Medicago truncatula: one gene and its partner. The protein of the gene in region 2 binds, or shares a complex with, the protein of the main gene of each other region. Links are inferred from orthologs where the notes say so. Each region holds a gene or a part of one and is shown on either strand. Other genes may lie near its edges.

What was found.
Region 1: actin-related protein 2 (region 2) and actin-related protein 2/3 complex subunit 2A share a complex: the UniProt entries of both Arabidopsis thaliana proteins name them as parts of the arp2/3 complex. The link is inferred for Medicago truncatula from reciprocal best matches to the Arabidopsis thaliana genes ARP2 and DIS2.

What each region holds. Positions count from the first base shown.
Region 1 is NC_053049.1:32,346,747-32,356,932, forward strand, and holds the start of actin-related protein 2/3 complex subunit 2A, read right to left. Parts: upstream 3,829-10,186; 5' UTR 3,808-3,828; coding exon 3,593-3,807; intron 3,501-3,592; coding exon 3,434-3,500; intron 2,796-3,433; coding exon 2,588-2,795; intron 1,249-2,587; coding exon 1,079-1,248; intron 1-1,078. Other genes in the region: membrane-bound transcription factor site-2 protease homolog, read left to right, coding at 7,604-7,855, 7,937-8,139, 9,452-9,599. UniProt on the Arabidopsis thaliana protein: Functions as actin-binding component of the Arp2/3 complex which is involved in regulation of actin polymerization and together with an activating nucleation-promoting factor (NPF) mediates the formation of branched actin networks.
Region 2 is NC_053048.1:9,627,827-9,637,607, reverse strand, and holds the start of actin-related protein 2, read left to right. Parts: upstream 1-5,800; 5' UTR 5,801-5,926; coding exon 5,927-5,968; intron 5,969-6,176; coding exon 6,177-6,287; intron 6,288-9,175; coding exon 9,176-9,310; intron 9,311-9,399; coding exon 9,400-9,471; intron 9,472-9,547; coding exon 9,548-9,626; intron 9,627-9,781. UniProt on the Arabidopsis thaliana protein: Functions as ATP-binding component of the Arp2/3 complex which is involved in regulation of actin polymerization and together with an activating nucleation-promoting factor (NPF) mediates the formation of branched actin networks.

The DNA of each region.
Region 1 (10,186 bases), on a different chromosome or scaffold from region 2:
ACTTACCAGGATTTGGGAAGCACAATAAGAGCATGACTAGGACAAAAAAACAGAGGCTAGCTTTTTTGAAATTGAGTTAGACCTAGCCCAAATCCTAGATAGTGGACAATCTATCGTGGGGGTGTTTGTTTCATGGTTGTGAAATTTATTCCTGGAAATGTGGAAGTTAGAAATATAGATTCCACTGTTTGTTACAAAGTTATAATACTTATTCCCAGCTATAAAACATTCTGAGGAATAAAATGACTACCACACTTTCCTATGCTTCTATTCCCAAAGTTCCCATGAAGATGGGAGTAAACTTGATGTCAACATATCCAACTCTTACAAAAATTCCAAGTAATGTAAGATTTAAACCAAACACATTTTTTATAAAATACCCAGAAATAAGATTCCACTGTATTATTCCTAATTTTCCAAACTATGAACAATTGCACCTCCAAATCTATTATTGGTCACCTGCAAATGTATAATCCTACAAGCTTCACTCCAAATGTCCAATGTTGGGCATAAGGTGGGTGTGTTGAGATCTCACATCAAGAGATATGGCTAAAGTAATCCTTATATGCAACTTCCAGGAGAACAAAGAATAATACAATAGATGAAGGATATCTAGCAAACAAACTACCTAACTGTTCTCAGCCATTTTTCCAGCTCTCCTATCCTTACACCCATAACCGGTACGCCCACGGTTTGAGCTTTTGGTACTAAAGGCCTGGGAACATTTTTTGTAATAAAAATGTGTTTTTCCCATTCAGTTACGATGTTAATGTTCATAACCGGTCTGTCCAGCAGGGTTTTCTGTAAACTCCATTAACTTCTCTCTCCGGTATCTCTTTCTTTCTTAGATTCTGTTTTTTCTATAGAACCTCCTCTCTGTTATTAAAGTTCCCTTATATTTTGTATAAATAAAAGTTGACAAGGAACAATATTAAAGCTAAAAGGAAGTCACCCATGCATCTAGGATTGTTATGGATTACTGAACTACTTCTTTGAGTACAAAAAACAATATGAATAAAATACCCCAAGCAAGGATGAAGGTTTCAGTAACAGAAAGTTGCATATTCAACTATCATACCTGAGGAAAAACAAAAAAAGACTCCTTTGGTCGATGAACAAGAGCAACAAGTGGATCCATATCCGGAGCAACATTTCTAGAAGCAAGGTGTTTTAAAATTACCCTTAGTGGTGCACCAAGGACGACCTCCCTTACTGATGCTACTTTTACCAAAAGTGCTTGTCTTTGCTCTGCACAAGATCAACATCGCCAATTGTCAAAGAACAGCATCAACAACAAAATAATTTAACTTATAAATTTCTCTTTCTTAAATAAAACCAAAGATGGAGTGACGAACCAGAATGAAAAAACACAGTTTCCAGAAGAAAAGAAAAATTTGGGCATTTAGATTTATTAGCAAAACATGTCGAGTCTTCTTGAAAAAAAGTATGATAAGTATTAAAAGTTTTGAAATTTGCCAAAAATATTTGGTTCAAGAGATCATCACACAAAGCACAGAGTTCATAAACAAGTTTATCCCACAAACTATGATTTTCAACAAAAGTCTCATTAAGATTTTTCTCTCCGAGTAATCATAGAAACCTTGGCCAAGAAACCAGAGTTACAGGGAAGAAGAGCAAGCTAAATAGTTATTTCCATTTGGCTTTTCTACAGTAGTTAGGGTTCCACAAATAGAGAAAGAAAAACCGTATGTAGGTTTCTGACTTCTCAAAGAATTTTGGGAAGTAGGTTCAAAATCCATCTTAATAAACCAGGGCATTCACTGAGAGAACAAATGCCTTAAAAGGAATGGGAGATGGAGACAGATGACTGCTGGAACGAAAGCAGGACAATCCATCATGTAGAATGATACTGGTTTCACGGTGAATGGGTTCAAGGCAAGCGACGCAAGAACACCAAATGCCAACAGAGGAATTGGTGCATTGTAGGGCATGAGAAATTTGCTGACTTTCAATTTCTCAACTGACCAATGACTCCTTTAATGGTGGTTGGTTCAAATAGAAGTTCTACTGGACCAGATGCAGAACCATGGGACTAAGAGGCAAACCAAGTGGAAAATGGTCTACTTACTGAGAAACGTTAAGAAAACTCTGGAGAGATAAAAAGTTAAATTGATTGAGAATAAAAATGCTATCTTTTATTTCATGTAAACGAAACTACAGAAACTTGAACATAGTTATTAATCTCTACTGCAATTTCAATTAAGAACCATTATCCATCTCTGGGTTACACATCAAATAATATTACTATGAACTAAAACAGAAAAAAGCTCAGATATTGACAATCCAAAGCACATGTAAATCATATATGCAAAATTGAGAATATCAACTTAGTGCTTCAATTATCAATTTATATTGAAATACTATCTAATATCTATAGCAAATGTAAATCCCTGAAACCAAAACAGTGGAAAGAATATACTGTAGCAATGAAAATGCATTACTAATCGGTAGTTTTAATGCATTAGAAAATACAGAAGCTATAAGTTCAGCTAAAGACGAAAAAACTTTTCATAGCAAGGGAAATTCAAAGTTACGGTAACATCCTATACTAAAAACCCTGATATACCTTGATTTGCAGGAACCTTTGAGAGATTTATCTTCAATGTGAGGTTAAAGCCATCCCTTGGAGGATCAAGAATTTGCACAAGACTGCCATATGCAGCTTTGATTGCTTCAATGGCTCCAAAAGGAAGTCCACATACAAAAATAGTTTCCGAAGATGGAGTAGGCAACGATACAGATAGCAAGAAAATATTAGGATTCTTCATTGACACCTACAATTATTTTTTAGCTTGATCAAATATGCAACCCAAAAGTGTCAAACTCAAATTATCTACATTACTCAGTGTTTGTCAATCGTGGATCGCATAAAATAGGGGTTTATTCAAATTCCTCTATAGCGCCTCTATTTGACAACATTTTGGGCATGTTTCAATTGTGAGACTGTTTGGTAGAGTTTATGGAAACAATTTTTGACAAGTCCATAAGCTGTTTTCATTTCAAAAAGGGAGCTTAATGGGATTTGAACAAATCGCTATTTAATGAGATAGACTATTTATGATATGTTTGAATCGACTTGTTTGAGTTTATCTACTAGTATATGCATTTAGGAGAACTAAGGGAAACAAACTCGTGACATGTTCATAAGCTGTTGTCTCCAAGATAGCTTATGAAAACAACTTACAGTTTATACTAAAACAATATAACTAACTTAATTTTATCTTCTATTATAGAAAGAGCTTATAAGTGTTTGTTATATAAGCTTCAAAATAAATTGTTTATGGAAACAAGTTCATATCATAAACATAAATAAGCGCTTATCATGATAAGTGTAGCAGGTGTTCAACAACATTGACTATACGGCGTTTATGATAATAGTAATAATAATCGTGTTAACAAACATTGTTAGTACCTGAATGTGATATCTGACATCGTCAAATTCAACCCAGTGGTGATCGAGTTCAACACCTTTTTCGATACTGAAACAGAAACAGAAACAGAAACAGAAGATATTAACGCAGTTGAAATGAAGGAGTAGCGAAATGAAAACGCATGCGTTTTAGTAACTAACTTTTGAAGGCGATTCAAAAGAGTCTGAAGCAGAAATCTAGAATGGGACTGGAGGAGTATCATCGATGATCCTGACCCTTTCCGCTTTCTTCTCTTCTCTTCTCTTCTCGTGTTTCGTTTCAACAGTTTTTGATGATGATGATGATTATGATTATGTGTATTATTACACTCACTCAGATCCAGACCGATTCTTTTCTTCCACTTACAGATTTTCATTCATTCATTTTTCTCAATCATAATAATCACATCACCATATTTTGTTTCTTTTCATTCTATTTTTTATTATTATATTTATTATTAATAAGATTAATTATTGAAATTCACCACGTACTATATGTGAAGTCCAAAAATGCTACTCAGAGGTTGAATTTTTTCATAATTTTTGTAGGCATGTTTACAACAAAGAAATATGCATTACACAAAAATTTAGAATTTTTCAACTAATGACAAATTAATTATGAATTTATAAAGCGTCAAAAACTCAAAGAACAAAATGATGAAAACTCCGACCTAAAAATTGAATTTTAAATTGATTGTTTGCAGAGACATCTAAAGAAATACATAAAAAGAATTTGCAAAATTTTGTAGCATTTCAAAGATGTTTAATTTTTTTATTTTTCAACCAAAACGTGCGAAATTGCAATTTTGTTATGAGTAAATGTATACTCACGGGTCAAATTTCTTTCTCTAATTTTCTAAGCATGTATATAACATCATAAGAACTTTCCTCGTGAATTTTTAGAGTTTTTAAACGAGATACGAATTAATTATAAAAAATTCATAAGGAAATAAAAATTCATAATAAATCTGTCCCTCGTCAAAAATTACGATCTAGTTCAACTCTTTACACATGATTCTTATAATAGAAATGAAATCACTCAAGTGGTATTTTTGTATAACCTTTCCAGGTTTGAAGCAGCACCATTAGTAAATAATATCAAACAAGATAATAAGATAAATGTTTATAAAAAAAATCACAAACATACATGCTAGTGGAATGTTTATGGACTTGCTGCAAGTTTGACATGTTACAAAACATACCCAACTTTTGTTCAAACTTTACCTTCAAAATTATTAGCACAACAGTTCCAGCCACATCCTTGAACATTCATAATTGAGGAGTAGAAAACCGATAAACGGTAGAGCCACATTTTTCAAGTATTTGGTGTAATTCAACTCTTGCATCAATCTTATAATAGAAAAGTCATCACTCAATTAGTATTTTTGAATAACCTTGCAAGTCATTTGCAGGTTTGAAGTTGCGTCGTAAATGTAAATAATATCAAATAAAACAATATGATAAATATTTAAAAAAGGTTTTATAACATAAATGAACAACTCACATCGTTGAAATTCTTCTTGTTATTGTTTTCAATTGTCTGGCATGCTATTCCGGTTGAAGAGCATGTGGCTTCAATGTTAGTTATGTTTTTGTGTGAAATAATTGATACTCGCGCGTGCGTAAAATGAGAAGTCTTCTCAGTCGTCGATAACAAGCAATTTGGATAGTATAAGATTGCGATCCACGTCCAAATGTAAACAGTAATGACAACAGTCGATAAAAAATTTAACGGTCATAGATTTTGATCCGAGTAAAATCCTTTAAAAGTGAAGAAAAACTTAGTGTGCTATTATTTACCTGTTTTTGTTTGTTTTTGCAGTGCTTTTGTATTTTTATTTTCGTAATTTATTTTTTATATAACTAGATAGATTTATTTTGTCGTGAACAAAGACTTATCTTTTATTTTTTATATAACTAGATAGATTTAATATAATTTTTATGATTTAAAATTTTATTATTTTTAACACTTAATCTACTCTATAAATCTATATATAAAAACAAATGTCTTGCTAAAAGTTTAAACTGCCCATAACCCACTAAAATTTTACAGTTGTTTTTTACAAGTGCTTAAGGGTAAAATATGTAATCTACTACATATATATATATATATATATATATATATATATAAATTTGTGTTATTTTTGTTAGAAACAAATTGAAATCAAATTTGTGTTATTTTTGTTAGTAACAAATTGAAATCATTGATAGTTATTAGTTATTGGATAACAAGTGGTTAATTATTGTGGTTAATTATTGGTTTTTTCATATTATTGAGGTAACTATAGTAGTTTATTATTAAGTTATAAGTCATTTGAATTAACTTATCACAAACCGCTATAAACTTGAATAGAAATAACAATTATCAAAAGATATTTTTTAATTATAAACTACTATAAGACATCCATTCAAATTTATGACTAAGCAACGAGTCAAAATGGGCTACCCGGCCGTTTCGGGCCGAACGGACTGCAGGATTTTTAGGGTCGGGTTAAAAATCCTGGTTTAAATACAGGTTGTAATAATAGAGCCCGAGCCCGGCCCTATACGGGTTCTCGGGTCAGCCCGCACGCACATTTTTTAAAAAAAAAATCTTTTAATGATCCTAATTACTAACCGAACTTGCACAAGTTAAAAAAACATGATCAGATTGCATAGCTATATGCACATAATTACACAGTTTATAATCACACATAGCATATTAACATAGCTATATAATTAATGAAACTCAATCACTCAAAAAAAACTTAGATATCAGATGAAGATATTCATCGTATTATGATCAGCAGTTGTTTTCACAACTCATAATTGGCGATGTTGAGTTGAAATAATAAAGCATATAACAGAAGAAAAATAAAACTTGTATTTTTTTTTTAGAGGATAAATCTTATATTTTGACGACTTAACACTAAATATTTAATGTCTATAAAAATAGAAAACAATAAATATCAATACCATGAATAAATTTAAGAAAGAAAAAGCAAGCCTTTTTTCCACTGCGAATGATAAATATGATTTCTAACTTCTTGATCTTTGAATGATATTTTCAAAACAACAGGATTTGAAGCTCTAACGTCCACTATGGCAACTTCTGTAGTCTCCCATATAGTTTAACTTTTTCTTTTTCCCAGGCTGCCCGTAGCCTAAATGGGCAACCAGCTTTTTCGGACCGGGCTAAAAAATCCTGAATTTATTCGGGCTGCAATTTTTAGGTCCAAGTCCTACGTTTTATTCGGGCTTTTGGGCCGGCCCATTCGACCCGACCCATTTTGATAGCTCTAAAGAGCACGACGTTTTTTTCGTCACCAGCGCACGAAGATCAAATACTAGGCTAAAGATACTTCATAGTAATGATATAAGCTCTCTTATTTACTTTCTTTTGGTACAAACTTCCTCTCAATTTTAATTTGATATAAGAAGACCAATTTTACTTGCAGATGACAAATCTTTGATTTACATATATGGATAATTGGCTTCTTGATGTCAAACTTAATATACAACACTTTTGAATTTTTTTTACGCATAATTATCAGAAGATTCATCGTTGTATTGAAAGTTATTAATTATTATCATATAGATCATGTTTACAAAACTTGACATTAGTAAAGTATCATTTAATATGCTAACAAGTTGCATCAAAATTAACATCTAAAGAACTTTTATCAAACGCCACATGAACACACATAGTCATGTACACATCTTCACATAGATTCTCATAATCAATTCACGTCTCACATAGGTTCATATGTATGCAATGTTCTAGTTTGACTCTACATGCATGTGGTACCAAGTTTTGGAGGTCGGAGTTATGTCACCGAGCGATCCACCATCATTAAATAATTGGAGGTATATTACAAATTAATCCACCCGTCATCAAATATCCATCATTAAATAGGAATGACAATGATGATAATGTAAACTCGACAATGCATGATCCATACACAAACAAATCATTTCATCATCAACATTTACTCCCATAAATAATTTAACATCATCTTAATATTCACATCACCAACATCAATAAAACACCATCACTTCGTTTAGGCAATTTGCATCTTAGATAATTCGTCAGTTAGGCTTTGATAAATTTAATTATTGAAAAGAAATGACTACTTTGCCCTTGACCGATAAAAGTGCCGCCGTAGTGGTGGAGGAACAACAATTTTGTACCTGATGGAAACGAGACGAATGCGAAGATTCGTGAGCCATCAAAAACCCAACAGCAGAACTCTTCTCCCTCTTCACGCTCCTTCTTCTTCCTCCTCTCATCTCTCCAACACTATTTCCTTCTTCTATTGCGATTACAAATTCATCTCTTTCAATAAACCTCTCTACACATTCGGTCGCAAACATGCCAACTTTTTTAAACTCTGGTTTTCTATTGGCCTTGGTTTCGCACTTTCTGCTATGCTCGCTGTTACGCTGGTAACAATTTTTATCAGTTTGTAATTGGTAATTTATTTTGTTTTTATTCAATTTGATTTGATTTGTTGTTTTTTGTTTTAGATTTTGGTTTGGGAGGTTGCAACGGCTTTGAATATATGTGGAGAAAGTAATAAAGTTCGAAGTATTGCTAGTGAAATGCTGTTTGGGTTTCCGAATTTGTTGTCGGGTTTGAGCTTATCACTTGCTGATGCTGGATGTATTTGTGTTTCTACTATTGTGTCTGTTTTTGTGCATGAATTTGGTCATGCACTCGCCGCTACTAGGTCTATTTTTTTATTCTTTGTTGCGTTCTATGCAGCACTGACACTGAACACGACACTGACACTTTAATACTGATAATAATTTAAAAAAAAAATGGAAGTAATTGAATGTAATCACATGCGTTGGACACTGGACACACATTCGACATGAAGTGTTGGTGCTATGTAGGTTGCATTTATTAAAATTGAGTGATATCACAGACTATTGTTGGAAGAACCATTCAGATGAATTGGTTATTTTTTATGAGAGAATGTGTGAGTAGACATGCTTCATACTGAATGCATTCTTTGTTGATAAATTTCCTACCGAATGTCGCATCAATAGGATTCCTTTTCCATAATTTAATCTGTAGTTGAAGCAGATTCATGTTGTAGATGAACAAGTGGGAATAAATTCATTTAATTTTAACATTTACTAAACTACTAATAAATTGGTGAACTCAACATAGGTTTAGGGGAGAGTTTCATGAGTTTGAAAAGTAAGATTCACTAAGAAAGACATGTTCTCTCACCAAGCATGTCTATTTATATATTCTTTCACCAAGTAATGTTGTCGTCGGGATCACCAGGGTGGGAAAGTGAGTATGATGGTAAAAACGTGGGATTGGGTGATCCATGGCAATACTTGTCAGACCTGTTCCAGGTCAGATTTCACGACCTGGTTTGCTAAAAGTCTTACTTTTCATTCTTCACCGTTTCTTTCGACTGCACGTGAGCCCACCGGCACCCACGTGACACATCCTTTTCCATCTCGTGCCTGAGTAGCACACGACCCTCCTCTGACCCCTCTTTTGCTACTGTTGGTACTTCTGAAGACTCGAATGACTGCTGCAGTTGTTCCTCTCCGCTGTTTTTATGTGCTCCTTGCGCAGAAGCTGTCGAGGATAGGGTTTAAACGAACTGAGACTCATTCCTAACTCTATTAGAAACCTTAATAGAGAAAATAAGCATAACTTATGAGAAACAAGTTTCATGGATTTGAGTGAGTTGCATTAAATACTCCCATATATGTACCTTGATAAAAATAAGGGATCAATACAAATAGAATCCCTTTATTCTCTCCTTTTATGAGTAGATTCTAGGTGCCCCAGGCTCATAGCATTTTTAAACATATTTCAACATCAATATTGCAGCATGTTATTTAAAAACAACAGGGGTGTATTTCCAATGATCATTTCAGCAGTAGACTTTTTATTGTTCTTTTATTTACTCTGTGATTATGCAGATACCAAGAATATCAAATTTAGTTTTGCTTGAAATGTCAAAAGCTAGATTCTCATGCCTTATGCTATTGCACCTTTTCAATGGAAAGCAGTGAGGGAATACAAATAGAGTACATCGCCATCTTCATCGCAGTTCTGTTTCCTGGTGCCCTGGTTGCCTTCAATGATGATTTGCTGCAAGCTTCAGAACATTTGACTGCCCTCCGCATATATTCTGCAGGCATTTGGCACAATGCAGTTGTAAGTTGAATTGAAATAGAATCCATTGACACTACTGCTGTGGAATATATACATTAATGTTACTCAACAACCTTTAGTGTTTAGTCCTTCACACACGCACACAGTGATTTTCAGTAATCCTGTCTTGGAACTAGCTATCATTTGACCTTGAATGTCTGACCACAATTTAGTAAATTGTACAGGTGTCCTATCAATTACAATTTAGTAATTTACAACTACTTCCATCCGCGTATTTCATGTCTCTCTTTGAGAAGGCTGTTTCACCCTTGTTTACATTGGGGTCCTTGAAGTTTTACGTTTGTACCACATCGGTCCTTTACATTTTTTTAATTTCAAATTAGTCCTTTAAATTTGGCCTTTGTAAAAGATTAGTCTTTTTCCATCCAAGTCCGTTAGAAGGTGTCTGTGTGGTTGTTTTGTGCTGATGTGGCATATCCAATTAAGCAAATTTCATGTTTTTATTACTTGTTATTAGAAAAATAAAAAATGTCAGTGTTCATCATCATATTCTTTAACAAACCAAATCAATTCACCCAAGCTTCCAACAACACCCAAAGTTTTCTCTTTGTTTCCTGTTTCTGGATTTG
Region 2 (9,781 bases):
GCAAATAAACCCCAATCATCGTGATTTTTGGTCAATTTAATGCAAAATTTAGCAATTCTCCATGTATCTCAAGTCAACAAAATGTCTCATCCTTTGAAAATGCATCCAATGTCCTAAATACACAAAATAATCAAGACTTTGAAATTACCCATATCATACATCACCTTATCCCATCAAGAATTTTCTTCTAAATCAAATAATCTCAATATGCCTCATGTGATTCAAATGGGTAGTGGTGGTGTGCAATTAAAAGATCAAGAGCTTGAAATACCACATGTTTGCACTCAAGGTGGCTTTGAAACTATTAACCTTAATAAAGAAATTGAAACTATATCGATTGTGAATAATTCGAAAGTAAGATTTCAACGAAAGGAGGATGGACTTCCCATTCAATTATGACTCAATATTTCAAAGGATCCGAATGTTAAAAATGATCAAAAAGGACAGTTTTTGGAAGAGAATTGATGAAGCTTATAATAACCATCACGACAAGAATTTTCAAGATAGGAAACCAATGAAGCTAAAAGGTTGATGGCACAAAAAGATTAATCCCTCTGTTCAAAAGTTTGTTGGATGCTACAAAGATGTTGTCGCTATAAAAAAAGCGGTAGCTGCAAGATCGACACAATTTCAGCTGCAAATGTTTTTTGTTTGACTTATATTGAAAAAAGAATTCTATATTTACAATACATGAAAAAATATTGCAAAACTACCCTACTTTTTATCTTTTCCATTGTTCCCCGCTAACCTCGCTTGAGTGGTATATTTCCCAGTTGTTTTCACTTGTGGGTATAGCACAACAAGCCTGAAATTTGTTTTTTTTTCTTCTATTTATGGGCCCCTACAAAACTTACTTGCAGGGTGTAGAAGGTTGTTTTTCTTATTTGATCTACTATTGATACTTTCAACAGTGTCACATATTCCGTGTACTACATCCTAATTCATGACAAGTGAGTTTCTAATATCTTCAAGAGGGATGATATATATACCACCCCATGTGACAATACACCTTTTACATCCACACAAAATTCTGACATGCGGCAACTTAAACCCCACACAAATAGAAGATAAAATGTGGTTGTGAGATGAACTTACCAAAATATCTCTAATGCATGGGTGTACAATAGGATATAGGAATAAAGGGTGTTCATGTAACATTTTCCTATCTCCAAATTCAACATAATTACACTGTTCGAAATAACAATTCTTCACACTCTAATAGTAATATCACACTACAGTATCAAACTCTAATAACTCTAAAAAACACACTACAATTTCAAACTCTAATAACTCAATTTAATAACTCGTAACATTAAACTCACAATCGACATATTAATTTATCTATCAACCTTTCACCTGAAAATTTATGCATAAATACCACTTTTTTACTCACAATATTCACTTAAGTTACCGCTCTCAAACTCTTATTTTTACACTCAATATTCTCATATTACCCGTCTTCTCAATTATTTCTTAAACAATGAATTATTTATGGTTAGGAGATAATCATAGGTCTAGGCCACAACACCTTAGATAATGGGTAAAATTATATTTTTAAATCTCTTTTATTTTGTTTTTTATTGTTTTAATAATTTTTTCTATTCTCTTATTTTTTTTAAATTTCGTTTTTGATATTATGTTGCTTATTAAATTCAGTTTTATATTCGGTTAATAATTATGTAATATTTTTTTTATTATGTTTATTTTAACCTTTTTCTTATATGCTCCCTCCGTTTTTGTTATTTTGATGTTTTAGAACTTCAACTATATTCCAAAATATTTAATGTTTTAGTATATGTAATATTTTTTTTTCAAATTTACCCTTGTTGAAAAAGACACCATAAAATTATTAAAGGAGTTGTGACCTTTGATTTATCACATGTGAATTTAATTATAATAAGGACATTTTAGTCCAAAACATACAAATATTTATGTACTTTAATTACTTCTTAAGATTTGTACCAAGAGCTAAAACATCAAAAGATAAAAAATAGAGGGAGTATCTCTTTATTTATTTTTATTAGGATGAAAGCAACAAACATTTCAACTTCTCATCTACAAAAACACAAAGAACCAGTCTACTAATTTTAGGGTGTGTTTGGCCCAGTTTTTTGAAAGTCTAGAAGCTACTTTAAAACTAAAGTTGCTAAAAAAACTTTATAAATTAAGTTAAAGTTGATTGGTAGTATCTATTTGACAAAATTATACAATTTATCTTTTAATTTAATTTCAGTTAACATTTTTGTCCCTTAATTTTTTTATTTAATCATTTATGTTATAAAATATCAACATCACGATCCTTCCTTTATTAAAAAGATTAAAACTAAAAAAAAAAAATCATAAGCAAACTCATATCTTCATCACACAAACCTATAAATCTAGATTTCATTGAAAAATCCTTATAATGAAAAATCAAAGAAAAAAAGAATGAAAAAAGATGAAAATATGTTTATATTGTTGGAATGCTGAGTTGATTATAATGAGAGAATATTTTTTAGGAATTCTAGTTTTCTTTTTGTAAAAAAAGTATAACGATATTGATTTTATAACATTAGGGAAATGAACTGATATATAAAATAAAATTTGCTTGAATAATAGATAAATTGAAGTAAACTTGGACCGTCATAATATTCCTCAAGGCTTAGAAGCCCTCTAGAAGGACTCAAACGCCCTCCGGACGGGCCCAAAGACCCTCCAGAAGGCTCCTTGGGCTTAGGCGCGTCCTCCTGAAGGATGCCGCCTTCTTCAGCTTCTAGAAACCACCCAAAGTACCTAAATACCCATGTTGCTTGGAAACCAAGCAACAAGAGCCCAAGCCCACAGCATGCTATAAATACCACTCTTGAGATCATTCTCAAGGATCGGATAATCAGTCTAAACCCTAGTTTACGATTCTTAACCCTAGAATCTCTTATTGTGCTTTTTGCAAGTACAAAACTATCCCGCAAAAAAAATTGAATAAACTGGGTGATATGTGAGTAATACATATGTAGGGAATTATTAGTAAAATAATAATACAAAATTGTCTTTACCAGGGTTCGAAGATGGAAGCACATGTAAATGAAGCGCATAAGTTGATACAAAGTTCCTTTCAATTCCTTTAATTGAAGCTCCTATAATTAAATTTTTCTTCTTTGAAAATAATTTACTTGTTTTAGGAAGAGCTTCTCCCAAATGTTGTTTGCCCCTACTTCTTCTTTAAAGTAGAAGGGAAGTCAAGAAAAGGCAGGCCAAACAGACTCTTAGACCAAGCAGGTTTTCTCCATGTTAGCAACATAAAAGAGTACAAAATGGATAGACATATCCTAAATGCTCTAGTTGAAAGATGGAGACCCGAAACACACACGTTTCATTTTCCAACGGGTGAATGCACCATCACCTTGGAAGATGTATTCATGTTACTTGGTCTAAATGTTAGTGGATATGTCGTTACAGGTGTAAAATCAATTGAGAGGCCACTGTATGATGATTTTTTGGGATTAAAATTCCATTGCGAAATAAAAAAGAGGGTAAACATGCTATATCAATGTCACATTTAGCACAAAATCTCAATAAAGACCTCATTGCCGATGTGTTGGATAAAATAAAAATACAAGTTACTAGGCGGTATATTCTATGGCTAATCAATGGTTTTTTATTTTCAAATTTATCTGGAATAATGTACATAATTGTTGGTTGGCCATGGTAGTTGATTTTAATGATACAAAACAATATAGATGGGGATTAGTCGTTTTGGCCTATCTTTATCGGGGAATGTGTGAAGCAACAAACCCTAAATTTGTATGCTTAGCTGGCTGTAATTTTCTCCTGCAAGTTTGGGGATATTCAAGGTTGGATTATTTGGCTCCCAAAAACATAAAAGAACTTAGTTTTCCATTTGGAACAAAGTGAGTATATTGTTATTATGTTTTTAGTAGTATTTGTTCACATTTGAGAATGCATAGAGATTACTAAAAGATGAACCCAAGTACATATTTGTCATCTTCTAACCCACAGACACCAACAAGCGAATACAATCCACCATCACGTGAAATTGGTCAAAAATCAGCCAAAAGGAAGGAAAATGAAAAGATTGTGCATATATCTATTCCTAAATTTGATGCTTTGAAAAATGACTTGAACAAAAAATTTGAATTAATGTCAAGGTTTGCGCGTGATTTTGCACGTACTGAGAGTGAAAAAGTTGAGAGAGAGATGAAAATGGTTGATGTAGAGCTACACAAGACTGAGAATGATAGGGAAATGATGAAGATCATGATTTAACAATACTCTAAAAGGATGTATCAAATAGGAATACAAGGTAATTACAAGATTATGAATTTTTGTGTGGCATGATTAGACATAAATATGAACTTAATTGATATTATTATTTATGTTAGACTTAATCGATTAGAGGGATATTATAATTTTTAGTATATGATTAGCAATTTCTATGTATGTTGTACTTAATTATTATTTATGTTTTATTAATTTATATTTTTATAGTTTTAGTATATGAAATATAAAAAAAGCTTCAAGAAATATGAGCAGCATATTGCAGTCAATGTGTAAGACTAATTATAGTATACGCAGGAACGAAATAAAATGAAATATTGCAACCAATTAAAGTATAAACCATATTATAGTATTTGAGACGTGTATTGTATATAAACCCTATTACACTATTTAAAATCATGAATTTTAGTTGAACTAGCTGTTATTCAAACTCAATTTTAGTCAAACTAGCAGTTACAAACTAACCGTTACTCAAAATAGCCGTTATTCAAACTAGCAGTTATTCATATCCCTATACATGTTATAACATATATAACAAACTTCACAATCGTTTCCAATTTCATTCCCTTAAAAAAAACATTTTCAACTTCTCTCTTTATTCACATTCAATATCAAACTTCTCTTCATATGGATCCTTCCAATCCATCCCATGTTGCAAAAATATTCATGGATTATATGAATGACAACATGGATGAAGACCTTGTGAGGATTTACTTTGAAAGTAATACACAAGAAGAGTTTGTGAGCTCAAGTAGGTCCAGACGCCAAAGAAGAAACATAGAAATCATGAAGAAGGACATGAACAGTTATTCAATGATTATTTTTTAGAAGCTCTAGTTTACACGGATGAGCAATTTCGTCGAAGGTACCGAATGCGTAAACATGTTTTCCTTCACATAGTTGAAACTCTTGATCAACATGATGAGTATTTTCAGCTGAGGGTTGACGCACCGGGTAGATCAAATATTTCACCCATAAAAAAATGCACTGATGTTATTTGTATGTTGGCAGATGAAACATCTGCTGATAGTGTGGATGACTATTTGAGAAATGGTGAAACCACGACACGAAAATGTGCTGATAAGTTTACAAGGGGAAAACCGTCTCAATGCTGCAAAGAGAAAAGAGAATATTGTTTGCCCAATATCAAGAAGGCTCAAGGAAGGATATCTACACAGACTCACCATTGGATTAGAACAATTAAGTTTGAATCTGATAAAAAAACTAGGCAGGAGACAAGGGCATAGTGAGAGTAACATCCAAAAATTGCTTCTCTTCCCTCTTTCTTCGCACATGAACGAAGTAGAAAAAATAGGTGGGACCCATAGTACTTTTATCTCTCTCCCTAATTTCTCTTTTGCACCAAATGAGAGAAAAATCATTCTTCTCTCCTTATTCTCTCTTGCCTATTTCATACCTACCAAACAGACCATTACTGTTTCATGTTTTTGCAGTATTAAACCTTCAAAAAAAAAAAAAAAAGTTTTTGCAGTATTAAGAAATGAAACGACAAAGTAGTGAAGTCGTTTAATCAACTTCCACTGACTAGACATTCTAACAAAGAGTCCCCACCCACCCCCCAACCGTGCTTGCTGCTCACATCTCCGCGCGAACTCAAACTGAAACCCAATTCTACCGATCGCACCTCATCATGGACAGCAAAAACGTCGTCGTTTGCGACAACGGAACCGGAGTACCTCTCTCTCTCTCTCTCTCTTCAATCTCTTCATTCATTTCAAAATCAAACTACATTTCAATGGATCCAATAAATTACCGATCTCAAATTAGCATCAAACTTTATACATTTCATTATTTAACACTTTATGTTTCTTCTACTTATAATGTAATTGTTTTATTTATTTAATTCATCATTTATTTTGTGTTTCTATTTAAAATTTCAGTATGTGAAGTGTGGTTTTGCTGGTGAGAATTTCCCGACTTCTGTTTTTCCTTGTGTGGTGGGGAGGCCAATGCTCCGATACGAAGAATCGCTTACCGAGCAAGAGCTAAAGGTATGCAAAACATGATTACTAAGTTTTTTCAATTATGATATGTATGTAACTTGTTTGATCTATGAGATCAAATGTGGTTGTTATTATTATTATTATGAATTTCAATGTTCTTAGTTATTAGTGATTTTCCATTCCTAGTTGTTGAGAGTCACACATTGATTAGAGGTAGTGGTTATAAACCATTTTTGTGGGATGAGTTAGACACTATTTGGATTGACTTATTTGAGCTTATCTACTGATATAAGTTTTCTGAGACTGTTTGGGAGAATTTACGAAGGAGACTGTAGATACTGTAGTTACAAGAGTAGATCAGAAGAGGTTGAGGAAGACCTAGGAAAACTATAAGAGAAACTTTTAGGAAAAATTTAGAGGTTAATGAGTTGGATCCAAATATGGTTTATGATACAACATTATGGCGTAATTTGATCCATGTAGCTGACCCCACTTAGTGGGATAAGGCTTCGTTGTTGTTGTTGTTTGGGAAAATTTATGAAAACAACTTATGACAATTTTCCCAAGTTCTCATATGTTGCTTATTAAAACAACTTATAGCATATAAAAAAGAATTTAACATCATTTTATTTTTTTCTATAAAAGTAGCTTATGCAAGCTTATACATAAGCGATTATCATGATAAATGTTTGCGCTATAAGCTGCAAATAAGCTGTTTATCCAAACAGGCCCTAAGCCTAAACTGTAAGATGATATAAGAGCTTATTCCAGATTTGTTGTTGGTCCAAGATCTCTGTATAGAAGAAGATTATTATTTTTATTGAATAACAATAGAATGACAATAAAATAAAAAAGATTTATTTTTATTCATAATAGGATCCCAACAAAAGCGAACCTCGCACATAGGCAAGTTTTACCACCGGAGAGCTCTTTACACTGTGTGATGGGGTGCTAGAGTCGGCCAGCCATTTGTTCCTACATTGTTCTTTTGCGATGAAAGTGTGGGATGAAGTTAAGAGATGGCTGGGTTTTCATTATGCGACTCCACCTAATTTATTCTTTCTTTGGGATTGTTGGGATAGAGTTTCGACCAACAAAAATATCCGGAAAGGTTTGAGGATGATTTGACATGCGGGGGTGTGGAGTATTTGGAGGGCCCGAAACGACATAATTTTCAACAACTCGATTGGTGAAGTGGAGGAGGTAATGAAGGATGTAAAGGTTCTGTCGTGGAGATGGTGTTTAAGTCGGTTGCAAGGGCCGGCGTGGTTGTTCTATGAGTGGCACTGGAATCCAAAAGCATGTCTGCTGCGTTAGGGGCGCTGTGTTTTCGAGGCTGAGGCTGTGGTATGCGGTGCCTGCGGTTAGGTTGCTGTCAGTAATGGATATAACAGCATAAGCTTTGTTGGGATGCAGCATGTTTTCGGCTGCTGTCATTTGTTTTAGCAAGACTAGGTTTTTTGGGCTGATATTGGTGCTGTGTTTTTGGGGTTTTCCGGTATGTCGGTGACCTTGTATTATTGTTTTTCTGTCCGCGAGTTTGTTGTGCATCTTGTACACTCTCGACGTGAATAAATTTTGCTGATTCTAAATAAAAAAAACTCGTAGGGTGTGAAGTAGGAGGAAGAGTAACTTATACCATCAATGACAATGTTAAAGAGTGAGAAGAAGAATCACAGAGAGAGAATTGGGATAGAAAAGGAGTGAATTCACTTCATAAATCATCCATTCCTTGGTTTCACATTCCCCTCTCAATTCAAACAATCTCTCAGCCATGAGTTTAGCTTTGCCTTTGCCCACCTCTCACCTCCTAATTTTCATGACTTCCTCTAGCCTAATTTTGATTCCTTGTAATTGCCTTGCTGTCGATTTCCTTCAGCTATCGATCCACCATTCTCTAATCGACTTGCCTTTGCTGGCAGTTTCATTGCACTATGTTATTCTACGTGCATTTGTCCACATTTCAAATGTCGGTTTTTGGGGTTTAGTTAAATCCTAATTTCAAATTCTAAGATGATATTAGAGTCTAATTCATATCTTTTATTAGGCCAAGAATTTTCCACTTGCACACAGTATTGTTAAATGGCAGCATGGCGGAATGGCGTGGTGGAATTTTTGAAAACTGCCATGGATAGTTTGCGCAGGAATGCCCACCACAGGCCAACTGCTTGCTTATGTGGCGAACTTTTGGCCTTTCGTTTATTCCATTATCCGCCATCGAAAACACTGCCTGCAATTTTCCATGCTCCAAATGTCGATTTGTGGGCGTGAGAATGTAATAGAAATCTACAAGTGGAAATGAACAATGGGAAAGTATTTGAAGGGAATTGATTGTATTTTATTGATTGAAATGATGAACTCAGTTAAAAATAAGTATCCCTAAACTGCCAAGAGCAATGCTCCTTACAGAGTGATTCTCTCTGTCCAATATAAAATGTAACTCATTCTTTCGATACCCTTCTTACTCCCTACTGCTCCCATGTATTCGGAACTACCAGCACCTCATGCTCATGCGCTTGACAATTCTGTTACACAAGTTTCCAGCTCAGCTTTTCCATTTTCTCTCTTATTCTTCCTCTAATAGACCCTCCACACAGTCGGCCTCACATTTGGGCCTGCAGATAAATGCACTTCCGTATCAGAACGTATCCCCATTATTCCACCCACAGTAATCCACACTTTAGAATTCAAATGTCCATTTCTAAACTTAAGGGAGTGTGTTGAAAATATCGCCTATAGATATGTCCTAGGTAGTGTTTATAATGCTTTGCTTAGGTTGTTTTTGTCTTACTAGTCAGTTTTGCATTGTTGAATTAGGCCTTAAGCCTAGACATCATAAACAATTACATATACACTTAATTACCCGTTTTTAAGATGTTGCTCGGGTCTCTGTGAGATTTATTATTTATTTACTATTTAAATTATGTTCTATTTAGGATATTGTTGTTGGCGAAGGATGTGCAGACCTGCGGCATCAGCTTGATATATCTTATCCTGTGAACAATGGAATCGTCCAAAACTGGGATGACATGTGTCATGTGTGGGATCATGCATTTTACAACGAATTAAAAGTAACCTTCTGGTGCTTCTTTCTCATTGCTCTTTCAACTGTGAATATTTGATTTCGTAGCTAACTCTGGTACACGATTTTTCTTGACAGATTAACCCACAAGACTGTAAGATTCTACTCACTGATCCGCCTCTTAATCCCTCAAAGAATCGCGAAAAAATGGTTTGTGGGCCAATCTTGTTACCTTTTGCTAATTTGTTTTTTGCATAGTAATTGTTTATGTGATTTGACCTGGCAGGTGGAGACAATGTTTGAGAAGTACAACTTTGCTGGAGTGTTTATCCAAATCCAAGCTGTTCTAACATTATATGCTCAAGGTGCTTATAGAGATGAGTGAAGGTTGATGTTTTGTTGTTTATTCACCTCATCCTAATTAGTTTACACCTCATAATTGCTATTACTCATTCTTGGAAACTACAAACTCTAATTATAACGTATTTACAAACCTTTGATATTTTATAATGCATTATGA